Pelodiscus sinensis: one gene and its partners. The main gene of each other region encodes a partner of the protein of the gene in region 3 in a complex. Links are inferred from orthologs where the notes say so. Each region holds a gene or a part of one and is shown on either strand. Other genes may lie near its edges. The genes, in order: AP3B1, ARF1 and AP3D1.

What was found.
Region 1: the proteins of AP3D1 (region 3) and AP3B1 are in contact, whole or in part, in a cryo-EM structure (PDB 9C5C), measured with the Homo sapiens proteins. The link is inferred for Pelodiscus sinensis from reciprocal best matches to the Homo sapiens genes AP3D1 and AP3B1. Residues at the interface, in NP_003929.4 of Homo sapiens: Lys352, Leu442, Ile446, Ser471, Tyr483, Trp487, Glu491, His517, Ala520, Val521, Gln524, Asn525, Lys528, Val561, Gln562, Ser563, Ala564, Leu566, Glu567, Gln569, Glu570, Arg571, Ser573, Cys574, Gln577, Leu578, His581, Ile582, Leu585, Lys588; in NP_003655.3 of Homo sapiens: Asn75, Lys466, Lys467, Gln470, Val494, Ala497, Ser498, Trp501, Leu531, Leu534, Gln535, Asn538, Lys542, Asn567, Tyr568, Asp569, Asp572, Arg573, Arg575, Phe576, Ile577, Gln579, Leu580, Lys586, Gly588, Ala589, Leu590, Ser591, Tyr593, Lys596.
Region 2: the proteins of AP3D1 (region 3) and ARF1 are in contact, whole or in part, in a cryo-EM structure (PDB 9C5B), measured with the Homo sapiens proteins. The link is inferred for Pelodiscus sinensis from reciprocal best matches to the Homo sapiens genes AP3D1 and ARF1. Residues at the interface, in NP_003929.4 of Homo sapiens: Lys48, Asp50, Phe77, Ile80, Glu81, Ser84, Asp107, Met110, Leu111, Thr112, Thr113, Asn114, Gln115, Arg117, Lys118; in NP_001019397.1 of Homo sapiens: Tyr35, Ile46, Pro47, Thr48, Ile49, Gly50, Phe51, Asn52, Val53, Glu54, Trp66, Lys73, Ile74, Leu77, His80, Tyr81, Gln83, Asn84.

The regions. Positions count from the first base shown.
Region 1 is NC_134716.1:86,592,816-86,596,559, forward strand, and holds the start of AP3B1 (AP-3 complex subunit beta-1), read right to left. Parts: upstream 2,889-3,744; 5' UTR 2,438-2,888; coding exon 2,301-2,437; intron 1-2,300. UniProt on the Homo sapiens protein: Subunit of non-clathrin- and clathrin-associated adaptor protein complex 3 (AP-3) that plays a role in protein sorting in the late-Golgi/trans-Golgi network (TGN) and/or endosomes.
Region 2 is NC_134712.1:252,866,948-252,870,691, forward strand, and holds the start of ARF1 (ADP-ribosylation factor 1), read right to left. Parts: upstream 2,676-3,744; 5' UTR 2,531-2,675; intron 1-2,530. UniProt on the Homo sapiens protein: Small GTPase involved in protein trafficking between different compartments. Modulates vesicle budding and uncoating within the Golgi complex. In its GTP-bound form, triggers the recruitment of coatomer proteins to the Golgi membrane.
Region 3 is NC_134729.1:27,439,428-27,443,171, reverse strand, and holds the start of AP3D1 (AP-3 complex subunit delta-1), read right to left. Parts: upstream 2,580-3,744; 5' UTR 2,361-2,579; coding exon 2,265-2,360; intron 1-2,264. UniProt on the Homo sapiens protein: Part of the AP-3 complex, an adaptor-related complex which is not clathrin-associated. The complex is associated with the Golgi region as well as more peripheral structures.

The DNA of each region.
Region 1 (3,744 bases), on a different chromosome or scaffold from region 3:
TGGGGTGCAAGGAGGGGCAAGGATGAAAGGTCTGAGTGGGAGGTAGGGTGCAGAAGCAGGCTGGGAGTAGGATGTCTGGCCAGGGGGGAGGTGCAGGAGCCAGGTGGAAGTGCAGAAGGGTGCTTGTTGTAGGATGTCTAGCCAGGAGGGAGGATGCTGAGTGTGGCCAGTAGGGAGGGTGCAGGAGCAAGGGAGGATGCAAGAGCAAGCTGGAAGTATGCAATCTTGGCATGAGGGGGGAGCTTACCTGGCTTTGCACCTCTGTTTCTCCCAAGCACCACCTCCCGCTTCTCCCATTGGTCAGCCAATTGGAGCACCAGGGAAAGAGTGCATGCAGGAGGGGAGGGGGAGGTAAGAGGTGAAAAAAGCCCTGACCTTTCCCACCAGACACAGCTCGTGGAAAGAGGCAGAGCAAGCAGCTCCATGCGCTGCTGCTCCCCTGCCCCGCCCCCCACACTACTTGATTTGCTTGTCTCCGTGATCCCGGTCGGGCAAGGAAGTTTAGGGCTTATTTCACCTTTCTACCACCACCACTCCAAGCAGGAAGCGAGAGCTGGTGCTCCAGACTTGTGGCTGCATGGCAACCATGTGACTGGAGTGACAGCATAGGCTTCCCACTGAGTAGGTGAAGAGTAAGGATGTTAAAGACTAATTGACTCCCTCCCTCCCGTCAGATAGAGGCAGCAAAGGGGGGACGGAGGGGGTACTTCAAAGGGCAGCACCACACAGCTGATGCCAGGATCAGCTGTGCAGCGCTGCCCCTTTGAAATACTAAGGCAGTGTTTCAAAGCAGCAGCGCTGCCTGGAGCCCAGGGTCAGCTGGGGACTCCCCCGCTGATCCCAGGCTCTGTGCAGCGTTTCTGCGAAACCCATGATTAGCTGGGGAGTCCACAGGTCTCGGGAAATGCCATGCAGAACATGCAGTCAGCTGCGGAGTTCCCCGCTGACCCTGGGACTCCGTGAGTGCACTTCTGCTTTGAGATGCACAAGAGCCCCCACTGAGACTCTTGTACATTTCAAACTAGCATGCCCATGTGCAGCCCAGAGTCAGAGAAACTTCCCGCTGCATGCTGTGTTCTGCATTCCTCCTTTGAAATGTACAAGAGCCCCCTGGTGGAATGTGGTATTGGCTATTGACTAGTTGAGTACTCAATAGAAATTCCCTTGACTACTCAAATAGTAAATTAACTGCAATTTAACATCCTTAGTGAGGAGGGGAACGGAATTCAAGCCACAGACTGCCTATAAAGTGGCTGCAGCCCACTTGTTGTCCATGGACTGCACTTTGAAAACCACTGTTCTAGGGGGCTACAGGATGATCTACCTTCATACAGCAAGTCACCTCTGCTATTCACTGCTATGCTGGTGCCGCCAAATTTATTGACAAATAAAATTTGCAGAACCCCAAAACATCATGCACAGAATTTCCTCAGGAATATAAGAGAAATTGGTCCAATAAAACATTACCTCATCCACCTTGTCTTTCAGCAATTTAATACTAAATGTTTCTCTTAACTTCCAGATTTGTTTAAGAGGATGCTAACTTTCTAGGATAATATGCCTTTAGTTTCCATGATAAATTCAACAATTTTCTAGTGTCTCAGTTTTGTCTTGAGACCACAATATACAACTAAACATCTTCCGCATTATGTTTAACACCAACCCATGTAGATGTTTGTTACAACATCATAACTACAACCATGCAGTAAGAATACCTGCGCCTTTTGGAAGGCTTATTTACCTGTATAAAGAAACTGATCTTTCACGGGTTTTAAGCACAAAACTGCTGACGAACTACAAACTAAAATAATTTGAAAGGGTATTTCTGTTATCCATTAACAAAGGCACCACCTGTTTAAACAGATACAGTAGCTAAATGTTTTATATGGCAACCAGAAAAAAGGTAGTCACCGATTTACTACCATAGTCTATTTGGATGGTAGCTCGCATGTCATAATTTGCATGGAAACGTCGGTACCGGCCGGTTCTAAAATGACACTTGGCGTTCCGTGTTTTGCTGTTCTGGGTACGTTCATGGTCGTGCCTCCAGCTGCCCAAGGAACTTGCATTTTAGAAGTTGTGTGAGCTGGGTCGATCAACCAGCGAGTCTCATTCAGCGTATGCAGCTGGCCACAGGAACGCGGTAACCAGCAGCGTACGCCAGGCCGGCCGGCCGGCCGACCGACCGACCGACCGCCTGCCTGCCTCGCAGCCGGACTCCCGCACGCCCTCCACTCAGCCCCGATCCTCAGCCCCCGTTGTCCCCGCCCTCTGCCAACGCCACGCCCCCTTTCCCTTACTTCTTGGTGTCGCTGCTGAAGAGTCCGAAGGCCGCGGGGACGGAGGCCGGGGCTGCGGGAGAGGCCGCCGCTTCCTGCCCCAGCTCCGCCGCCGCCTCTCCGCCCTGCTCGTTGTAGCCGAGGCTGTTCGTGGACATGCTGCTGCTGCTGCGGCTCCTCTGGCGCCTGCTGCCCAACGGAACTTAGTGACGCGCGCACCGGAGTCCTCCCGGAAGCTAACGGCAGCGGTTGGGGCTGGAGGGTGCAGGCGTCACATGATGGGGCGGGGCTGCAGGAGCGGAACTTTCCCGGCCTCAGAGTTCTAACGTTCCTATGACAACCCCATTGCCACTGGCCAGGAAGGGACGTGAGAAGGCACGTGAAGCTCCGCCCAGGCTGTTGGCGTGGCGTGTAGGACGGGGCGGAAAGGAACAGTCTGGACTCGTACTGCCGCCCAGGGGGGGCGGGGCTTTACCTAGGGTTCTGCTTGCGCCCTTGAAAGCCGCGCAGACGCCCGGTCCGCGCGCCAGCAGGAGGGTGTGTGCGAAGGGCGGCGGTGATTGATTCCCAGAGCCGCGGTCCGTAAGGAGGCGGGCGGTGGGGCTCAGACGTACCCGTGCGGAGCACACGGAGATTGCGTCCGCCTCGCTGAGCCGCGGCCTAGCCCCACGCAGCACAGGTCGGATAGCGGCAGCCCCTGCTCCCCCCTTCGTTCGGCCTCTCTGGGAAGCATCGCACTGCAGCTGGGTGCCACTGGTAACCTGGAGTCCACCTTCCTATGACTGGTTACTTTCGGCATTTCACTTAGGCCCTGGACCGCCCGTGCTCCCCGTGGGAACAAGGATTTTGTAGTCAAAGCCCGCGGTCCTTGCAATTTTAGCTCCTGCAGTGCACCCTGGAAGCCTCTTGTAAATGGACCAGTCTACCGAAGCCCCAGTCTTGCAATGTAGCTGTGCATTCCTGTATTGCAAGCTTCTAGTGTGTGGTCACTGTGGTGCCTCTCCTTCTGTAACACCTGTACGGGAGAGTGGGGCATGTTTGGCACATAGATAGTGGCTTCTGTATGATTGCATTGCAAGCTATGCAGCCACTACTCAGTCTCCTACCCCGTGTAAGGGACTTTTGATCCCTTACTATAGTGGCTCTCAAAGTGCAGTCCACAGGCCACTAGTAGTCCACGGCTGCCTTACAGGTGATCCGTGGCTCGAACTCAGCACCCTCTTCCTCCCCCACCCCCCATGCATCTGGGAGCTCACGCAGGCTTCTGCACAGTAGGCAGGCGGTACAGAGGCGGGAGATTTCTCCTCTCTTAGGAGGGGGTGGGGAAGGAAGGGGCTCAAACAGGGAGAGGCTGCAAGTAGAGCCCAGTGGGGGTGTTTCCAGCCTGATGGGCAAGGGGAGGCTCGGGGTTGGGGGCAACATAGAGTTGCCAGGTGTCCGGTTTCAGTTCGGTAATTGCGCCTTC
Region 2 (3,744 bases), on a different chromosome or scaffold from region 3:
TCCATTAATCCAAGACCAGAGCCTGCATCCCAACCCGCTGCCCCTGCCTCGTGAAAGGGAGGGAGGATGGAGGGAGTAGGGGCGGGGTCTCAAAAGAAGTACAAAGGAGGCTGGGCAAGGGTATTTGGGTTTGAGGTAGATCTTGGATTGCACTTAAATTCAAAAATTGATCTCATGCTTTAAAAGGTTGGAGACCACTGTCTTACAGTAATGCAGCTAGCTGCACGCACCTCTAAGCTCTCTAATGTCACTACTCTAAGCAAAGAGAAAGAGCTATCCAATCCATAGGAATCATCTACCCCTAACAAGCAGTATTGACTGTCAGCAGCTCTCCTAATAGTACTTTCAACACCGGTGCTACAGTTTTATCACTCAGTGGGGTGGCCTATTCAAGCCACCAAATGACATAACTTATGTCAAGTTAAACTGTAGTGTAGCCAGAGTTAGTGTTGACCAGATTTGCCCACTGTAAAGAATCCAGAGTAATGAAACTTTCCACTAAGCAGGTGCAACAGAAAAAGGTCATTTTGGAAAGATGAGTGAAAGAAGAAACCTGTGAATGTAATGAGTTCTTCATGGTAATTATGCCCTTATTTATACCTATGAAACCTTAATACCAAAAAACAGTTTTACACAGGGGTGCCACAGTGAACAACAGTGCTGAGTCACAAGAAGGTGTAGAATCTAGTCTACTATTAGCAAAGCCCTGACTACATTTTGTCAGTAGAGTCAGCAAGTATGACTCAGATCTACAAAGACCTGAGTTAGAATCCACCATTTTTATAGTACCCTTTCAGATCAGCATGCAAAAAAACCCACCTTTCAGATCCCTTTGTATAAAGTTATTTGCTGATACAAACTGATGCTGAGATTAGAAACAGACATTACACCCAATTCAAGTTTGCTGTATTAAGAACCCAGAGCAAATGAGTGGATACCATGATCCACTCAAGCCATCTACTTATGGACACAACCTACCCTGCACCTGATTCTAAAGGAGTTTTAAAGAGTGTCAAGTCAGGTAGTTTCCTCACCTTTTCATCAAAAGTTATGACTACTGTAAGGGGTTGGGGAAGTAAACAACACTTAAACTTTGCAACAATCATGGATGTGCAAAGTAGAAGTAACAGCATCAAACCCTAACACTATTTTCAGAAAATAATTTTCCTTCCATACCTATTTAATAGTGTATATAATGGCACCATTTTGAGAAAGAAAAAGAATATTTGGAGAAAAATTCTAACTTCCTTAAAGGAAGAACACAACATGGAATGATCCAAATTTGAGTAAGACACATGATTAGAGTATTAAACTTCTGTGGCAAAAGCAGTCATAGAATGGTCTGCTACATAACCTTAGATAAATCACTCAACTTTAAGCTCTCAGTTTCTCATCTGTACAACAAGGATAAACAATAATGTTCTTCAAAGAGGGGCTCAGAGACTCAGTGGCTGCATAGCAAAGTCAACTGTTCAAATAATATAGCTATAGGTGAAGCGGATGGATACAAAATAAAACTTCTGCATGCACGCAAATCAACCTGCGGAATTTGCTTTGCCAGAACTCAAACTCAAAATACTGTGCCGGGATGATTTTATGCCACGATAGTTTTAATTACACCAAGATGGAGTCAACCCATTCAGGTCTCATGGCGAATGCATGCTGCCAATATAGAGCCCTGTACTACTGGCAAGGTGCACTGTGTGGGGGTTGAAACAAAAGACAGGACAATGTAGCACTTTAAAGACTAACAAGATGGTTTATTAGAGGATGAGCTTTTGTGGGCCAGACCCACTTCTTTCGTGGGACTTCCAAGCGGGTCTGGCCCACGAAAGCTCATCACCTAATAAACCATCTTGTTAGTCTTTAAAGTGCTCCATAGTCCTGTATTTTGTTCCAGCTAGACCAGACTAACACGGCTACATTTCTATCACTATTCTGTGCGGGGGCTGCTCCCTTCCCGGGGTGCCACGCATGGGCCGCAGATAGCAGCGCACAGGCCGAAGGCTGATCTGCTCTGCGCCAGCCGGGGGCAGGCTGCCTGCCTGGCTCGCCCACCCCACGCCGTGCTGAAATCCTGGGGCGGGGGGAAGGCAGCAGCTCGACGCCCCGCTGGGTCAGCCCCTCTCAGAGAGCCCCCCCCCCCCACGCTTTCCCAGCCCGCGGGCGCTCGGAGGGGGAGAGCCGGCGACCCCCCCCGCAGCAGAAGGGCCGGGGCAGGGCCCTTCCGGGCTGCGCTCCGCGGCCAGGCCGGGGCGGAGGGCGGGGCCCCGAGCGGAGTAGGGGGATGGGGGCGGACCCGCGGTCAGGCCCCGGCGGGGGGGGGGGGGGGGGGGAGCTAGGCCTGGCTCCCCACGGCGCCTCCCCCCGCGCGGCAGGGACACGCCAGCCCGCCCCCGCTGCCCCGGGTCTCCCGGCGGGCCGGGCCCCGCCACCCAGCGCCGGGCCTCAGCGCGGCCTGCTGGGCCCGGCGAGGAGGGGGGGGGCTACGAGCCGTTGGCGGGGGGGGGGGGGGCGCGCGGCCGCTTACCCGGCGCTGGGGTCTCCTGCGGGCTCTCGCTCGGGGCCGGCTGCCTCCTGCGCTGCGCTCCCGCTCCCCGCCCAGGCTCACAAGATGGCGGCTCGGGGCGGCCACGTCAGTGTGCCAGGGCGGCGCGGGGCACGACGGGTAAAGCCCGGGGGAGGGCGGGGCGCGTGAGGCGGGTGGGGGAGGGGCAGCGGCGGGCGCAGGCGCAGTGTGGGGAGCCCAGAGGGGATGCGTTGCGGGGCCGTGACGCCCTCCCCTGAGTGACGTGTCTCCCACTCGCCCCAGCCCAGCGCCCGCAGAGCCTGCTCAGGGGGCGGGAGCAGAACAGGGAATCCCCCCCCTGTCGCCCGTTCCCAGACAAGCACAGGCCATCCCGACCCATCCTGGCTGACAGCCCCTGAGGGACCTAACCTCCAACTCGCTCCTTGTGGAACCCTGTGACAGTCCGAACCTTCACCACGTCCTGCAGCGAGGAGTTCCACAGGTGGACGGCGCGCTGATGCGTGAAACCAACAACTTCCTTTGGTTTGTTTTAAACCTCTTCGTTTCCTTTGGGCTACCTCTGCCCTGCAACGCTATTGCGGGATACCGGAGTATCCCCAACTAGCTATCCCGCGCCTTCACAGCAAGCCCGTTCTTTCGGGCTCACTAGTCTGATAGCCCTGTAAACCTCGTTCCACGAGGAATAAGGGGCGTTTCGGAAGTGCCGGGTTATTTCAAAATTTGGTGCTGTGTAGACAGCGCCAAATAACAAAATAAGCTATTTTGAAATAAGGTCATGATAAGATACGCAATCTTATCTTAATAAGCTCAAATTGCTCATCTTACTTCAAACTACGGTGCAGTGTAGACATAGCCTTGGTGACCCTTAGTTCTTATGTTATGGGAACAAGTAAATAACTTTTCCTTATTCAGTTTTTCCACACCAGTCATGATTTTATAGACCTCTGTCATAGCCTCCCTTAGTCTCCTCTTTTTTAAGATGGAAAGTCAAAGTCTTTTAAATCTCTCTTTATACGGGACCCATGCCCAACCCCTAATTATTTTGGTTGCCCTTCTTGAATCTTTTCCAATGACAAGATATCTTTTTTGAGATGAGGTAGTACCTGGAAAAACTTAAAAAACAACAAATAGTCCCGCAGCATCTTCTAACAAAAAGTGTATATGATATCATGAGTATTCGTGGGCACAACCCACTTTGTCAGATGAATGGTGTG
Region 3 (3,744 bases):
CACAGCGCCTCTGTGTCCCCTGCCCCCAGCACCACAAAAACAGTGCGGGGGAGGTGAGGGGGAGAGAGAACTGGATTTTGAGCTGGCTCCGCCGGCACCAGCTCCTGTGTCACCCCCCCCCCCCCGTCCTTGCTGTCTCTGATAAAGTGGCAGCAAGGGGGGGGAAACATGAGTAGTCGACTCCTAGGCTTATTAAGTAGTCAACTATTTGACTACTCTTTCATATCCCTAGCATGAACTACAAGAAGTTAATATACATATCATCACCTTCACAACAAACATGCACATAAACATTTGTAAATAGTTTTTCATATTTAACAAAAACTGTCTCTTTCATAAAATCCTACACGCTGCTCAGAACTTATTTTTTGGGGTGGGGGGCACTTAGTCCTTGAAAACAGCTACATCTTCCTAGGCCACCAAACCAATACCAAATCACCTTTAAACTACATTATGTAGTTTAAGACTGAGTAGTTTTTCCTGGTATGTGGTTCTATGGAATACTGCCTAATACTGTGGAGCATCAGTGTGTAATATCCAAATCTAAAGCTATTTGGAAAGTTGAATGTCTGTTGGAAAGCAACACTGCATTTTGGCCTGAGAGCAGCCGTGATAAAAAACATGCAACACAAATGAGTTTTACAACCGAATTATTTGTTCTAGCAACCAATGTCTACATTTGTTTCTTAATCCCTTCCACAGTTGATAACTGTGATGCTATGTTCTATCTTACCAACCTGTGGCAGCATTATCGCACTAAACTCTCATTGAGTTACTAATATTCTGTCAAAAAGATAATTAAGAAAGTTGTTCATATAAAAGTTTCCAATACCAAGTTTACTTGTGCCAAGACTCCAAGGACTTCCTGATCAGTTACCACGTGACAACAACTGATAAAAGAATTCTAACTTCTGAAGTAAACCAGTTCTGGACTAATAATTACACACTTTCCATCTAACTCAAATAATATAGTAGAATATATCAGGTGGTGACATTCAAGTGCTTTCAGTTTCTACCTTAAATAAGCCTATATATTAACGTTTCTGAAAATGTGGTTAGACATAAGCTAAACTGAATGACTAACGAAAAAGCTTAATTATGCTTGAACTTGATTTTCTTATGCTTCAATCTTACCCTAGAAAATAGTCACTTACTTCATTAAGACATCAGACAGGAATTCCTTTAACTTACAAATCACAGGCTGTAAATAACCAAGGCTAGCTCCCCCAACACTAACATGATATCAACAACAAAAATTTCCCATATGCCAGATCTTTCTCCTCCCTTTTAATTTTCTTACCCCACTGCCTGCTTCCTTGAATGCTCTCCCTTTTGGCTTAGCCTGGACAAGAATCTTCTTCCTCATTTTTCATTACTGCTTGCACTTTCCCACTGACAACATCCCCTTTTCAGCAACAGAGGCACCTTTTATTTTGATGTGGGGTCGAGATGAGAAAAAGCCTCAGGCTTATACACAGCCCACAGAGGGGCAGAAGACCCGAATCACCCCCACCACAAGAGACAAAACAAGATAGTTTCTCCACTAGATTCTTGTTCCCTTGTGGGCAGCCCTGGTCTCAAGTGGAGATAGACATCATACTCCCCCCAAAGCCTACAGGGGGACGCAGCCCCCACAAAGAGATAGGAGAAGGGAGCTGCCACCCACCCCCAAAATCCTATGGGGGTCCCACAGTGAAAGGAGAGGAGCGGCCACCTACCCCGCAGAACCTAGAAGGCAAAGGTCTGGGGTTAGATCTAAGGAAGCCCTTGGCTCTCTATGGGGCAGGGCACTGTACTTCAGACTGCTCCCAAGGTACCTCCCTCCCCCGCAGCTCCTATTGTGAGAATTTTGCCCCCTACCCACTCCCCTTCTCGCAACTCCCACCTGGTCCTACATTGCCCTCCTCAGCCCCCCTCCCCCATCAACCCCCAAGTCCCCCACCAACCCACCTCTCCTATCAGCCCCCCCATTAATCCCCAGAACCTCCCCCCTCAGACCCTCTTCTCCCATCAACCCCCAGACCGCCCCCCCATCAGGCCCCCAGGCTCCTTCCCCCATCAGGCCCCTTCTCCCATCAATCCCCCACCCCCCTCAGCCCCTCTTCTTCCATCAACCCCCAGCCCCCTCCATTAGGCCCCCAGGACCCTTCCCCCATCCATTCCCCTCCCCCCTCAGCCCCTCTTCTCCCACCAACCCCCAGCCCCCTCATCAGGCCCCCAGGCTCCTTCCCCCCCCAGCCCCCCGGCCCGGCGCCCCGGCCCACCTCGTCCTCCTTGTGGTTGCGGATGCCGCGCACCAGGTCCTGCAGGTTCTTGTCGAACATGCGGTCGATGCTGCCCTTCACCATCTTCAGCGCCATCGCGGCGGGGCCGGCGGGGCCTGCGCTGGGCGGCGGGGCCGGGGGGGGGGGCGGGCGGCGGGGCCGCTGCCGAGCGTGTCCGGGCGGGGCGGGGCCGGGCCGCTCACATCCCGCGCGGGGCCAGGCGGCGCGCGCCCCGGGGGCTCAGGCGGCGGCGGCGGCGGGAATCTCCGGTCTCCGCTCAGCCCAGCGCCTGACAAAATGGCGGCCGGTCAGCTGAGGGCTCGGCCCCTCCCCCTCCCGGCCGCCGCACGCCGGGCCACGCCCCCGCCCGGCGCCAGCCCCGCCCGTGTCTCCGCCCACCTCGCCCCTGGCCCCGCCCACTCCCGCCGAGGCCGCGTCACCGCTCCCTCTGGCTCCGCCCCTGTGGCCCAGAGCCCCGCCCATTTCTCCTCCTCTGAGCCCGCCCCTCCCGCCCCCGGCCGTGATTCCCGGCGGCGCCTTCCACGTCACCCGCCCGGGGCTGCCAGCAGCCTGTGGGGGAGGGGTTGGGGAGTGGCTCTCCCCTCCCCCTGCACCCCGCAAGGGCCCCACCCCCAACAAGCTGAGCGGCCCCGCTATGCGCTCGACAGGGCCGGCCTCGAGCACGTGCTCTGCTGACTCGGGGCCCTTAATGCCCAGTGAGGCGGGGATGCTGCAGCCCCCACCCCCCCTCCCCCGCACTGCTGCAGGGAAACTGAGCCCGTGGACGCTTTGCTGTGACTGCCCGGTACCACCCTACGCTCAGCACGGGGCGGCCCGCCGGGAGAGAGTCACACGCCTCCGGCAGCCCCTGTTTCTACTGATGGTGCACATCCACACAGGTCCCAGTGCAGAGAACAAAATTTATTCCATGCATGGGTGGAAAAAATGAGAGGGAACATTGCCACTGTTCATCTGGCAAAACGCTCTTCTGTAAAACGCTTCTTATGCAGAAACCCTGCGTGTAGACAAAGCCCAAGCGTGTAAAAGACACAGATGTACACAACTCTAGCGGGCGCGGAAGTAGCAGCAGCTTTGCTGAGCAGCTTGGATGCCACAGTAGAACAACGTTTGTAGTGGAGCGGTTCTTTTATTATTATTTTGTTCTTATCCCGCCAGAGATCGGGGCCTCATTGTGCTACACCCTGTACAAATACACAACACTAAGTCATGAATGGTTTGTCAGAGTTAAGCTTTGGGCAGGTCAGTGTTTGGAGAGGGTAAATTGACTCACTTGCATGGAGCTTGATTTTCAGAAAATCAGGCTTCTTTAACAGGGCCACCCTTACTGATGCATAGAATACACAGATGCGTAGGACACCCAAAAATTTGGGGCACCACTGGGTCCTAATGTCCACCCATCTGCCTATTCCTATCTCTGTTCTGTTCCTCCAGAGAGGATCTAGTTAAGTTAAAAGTGAAA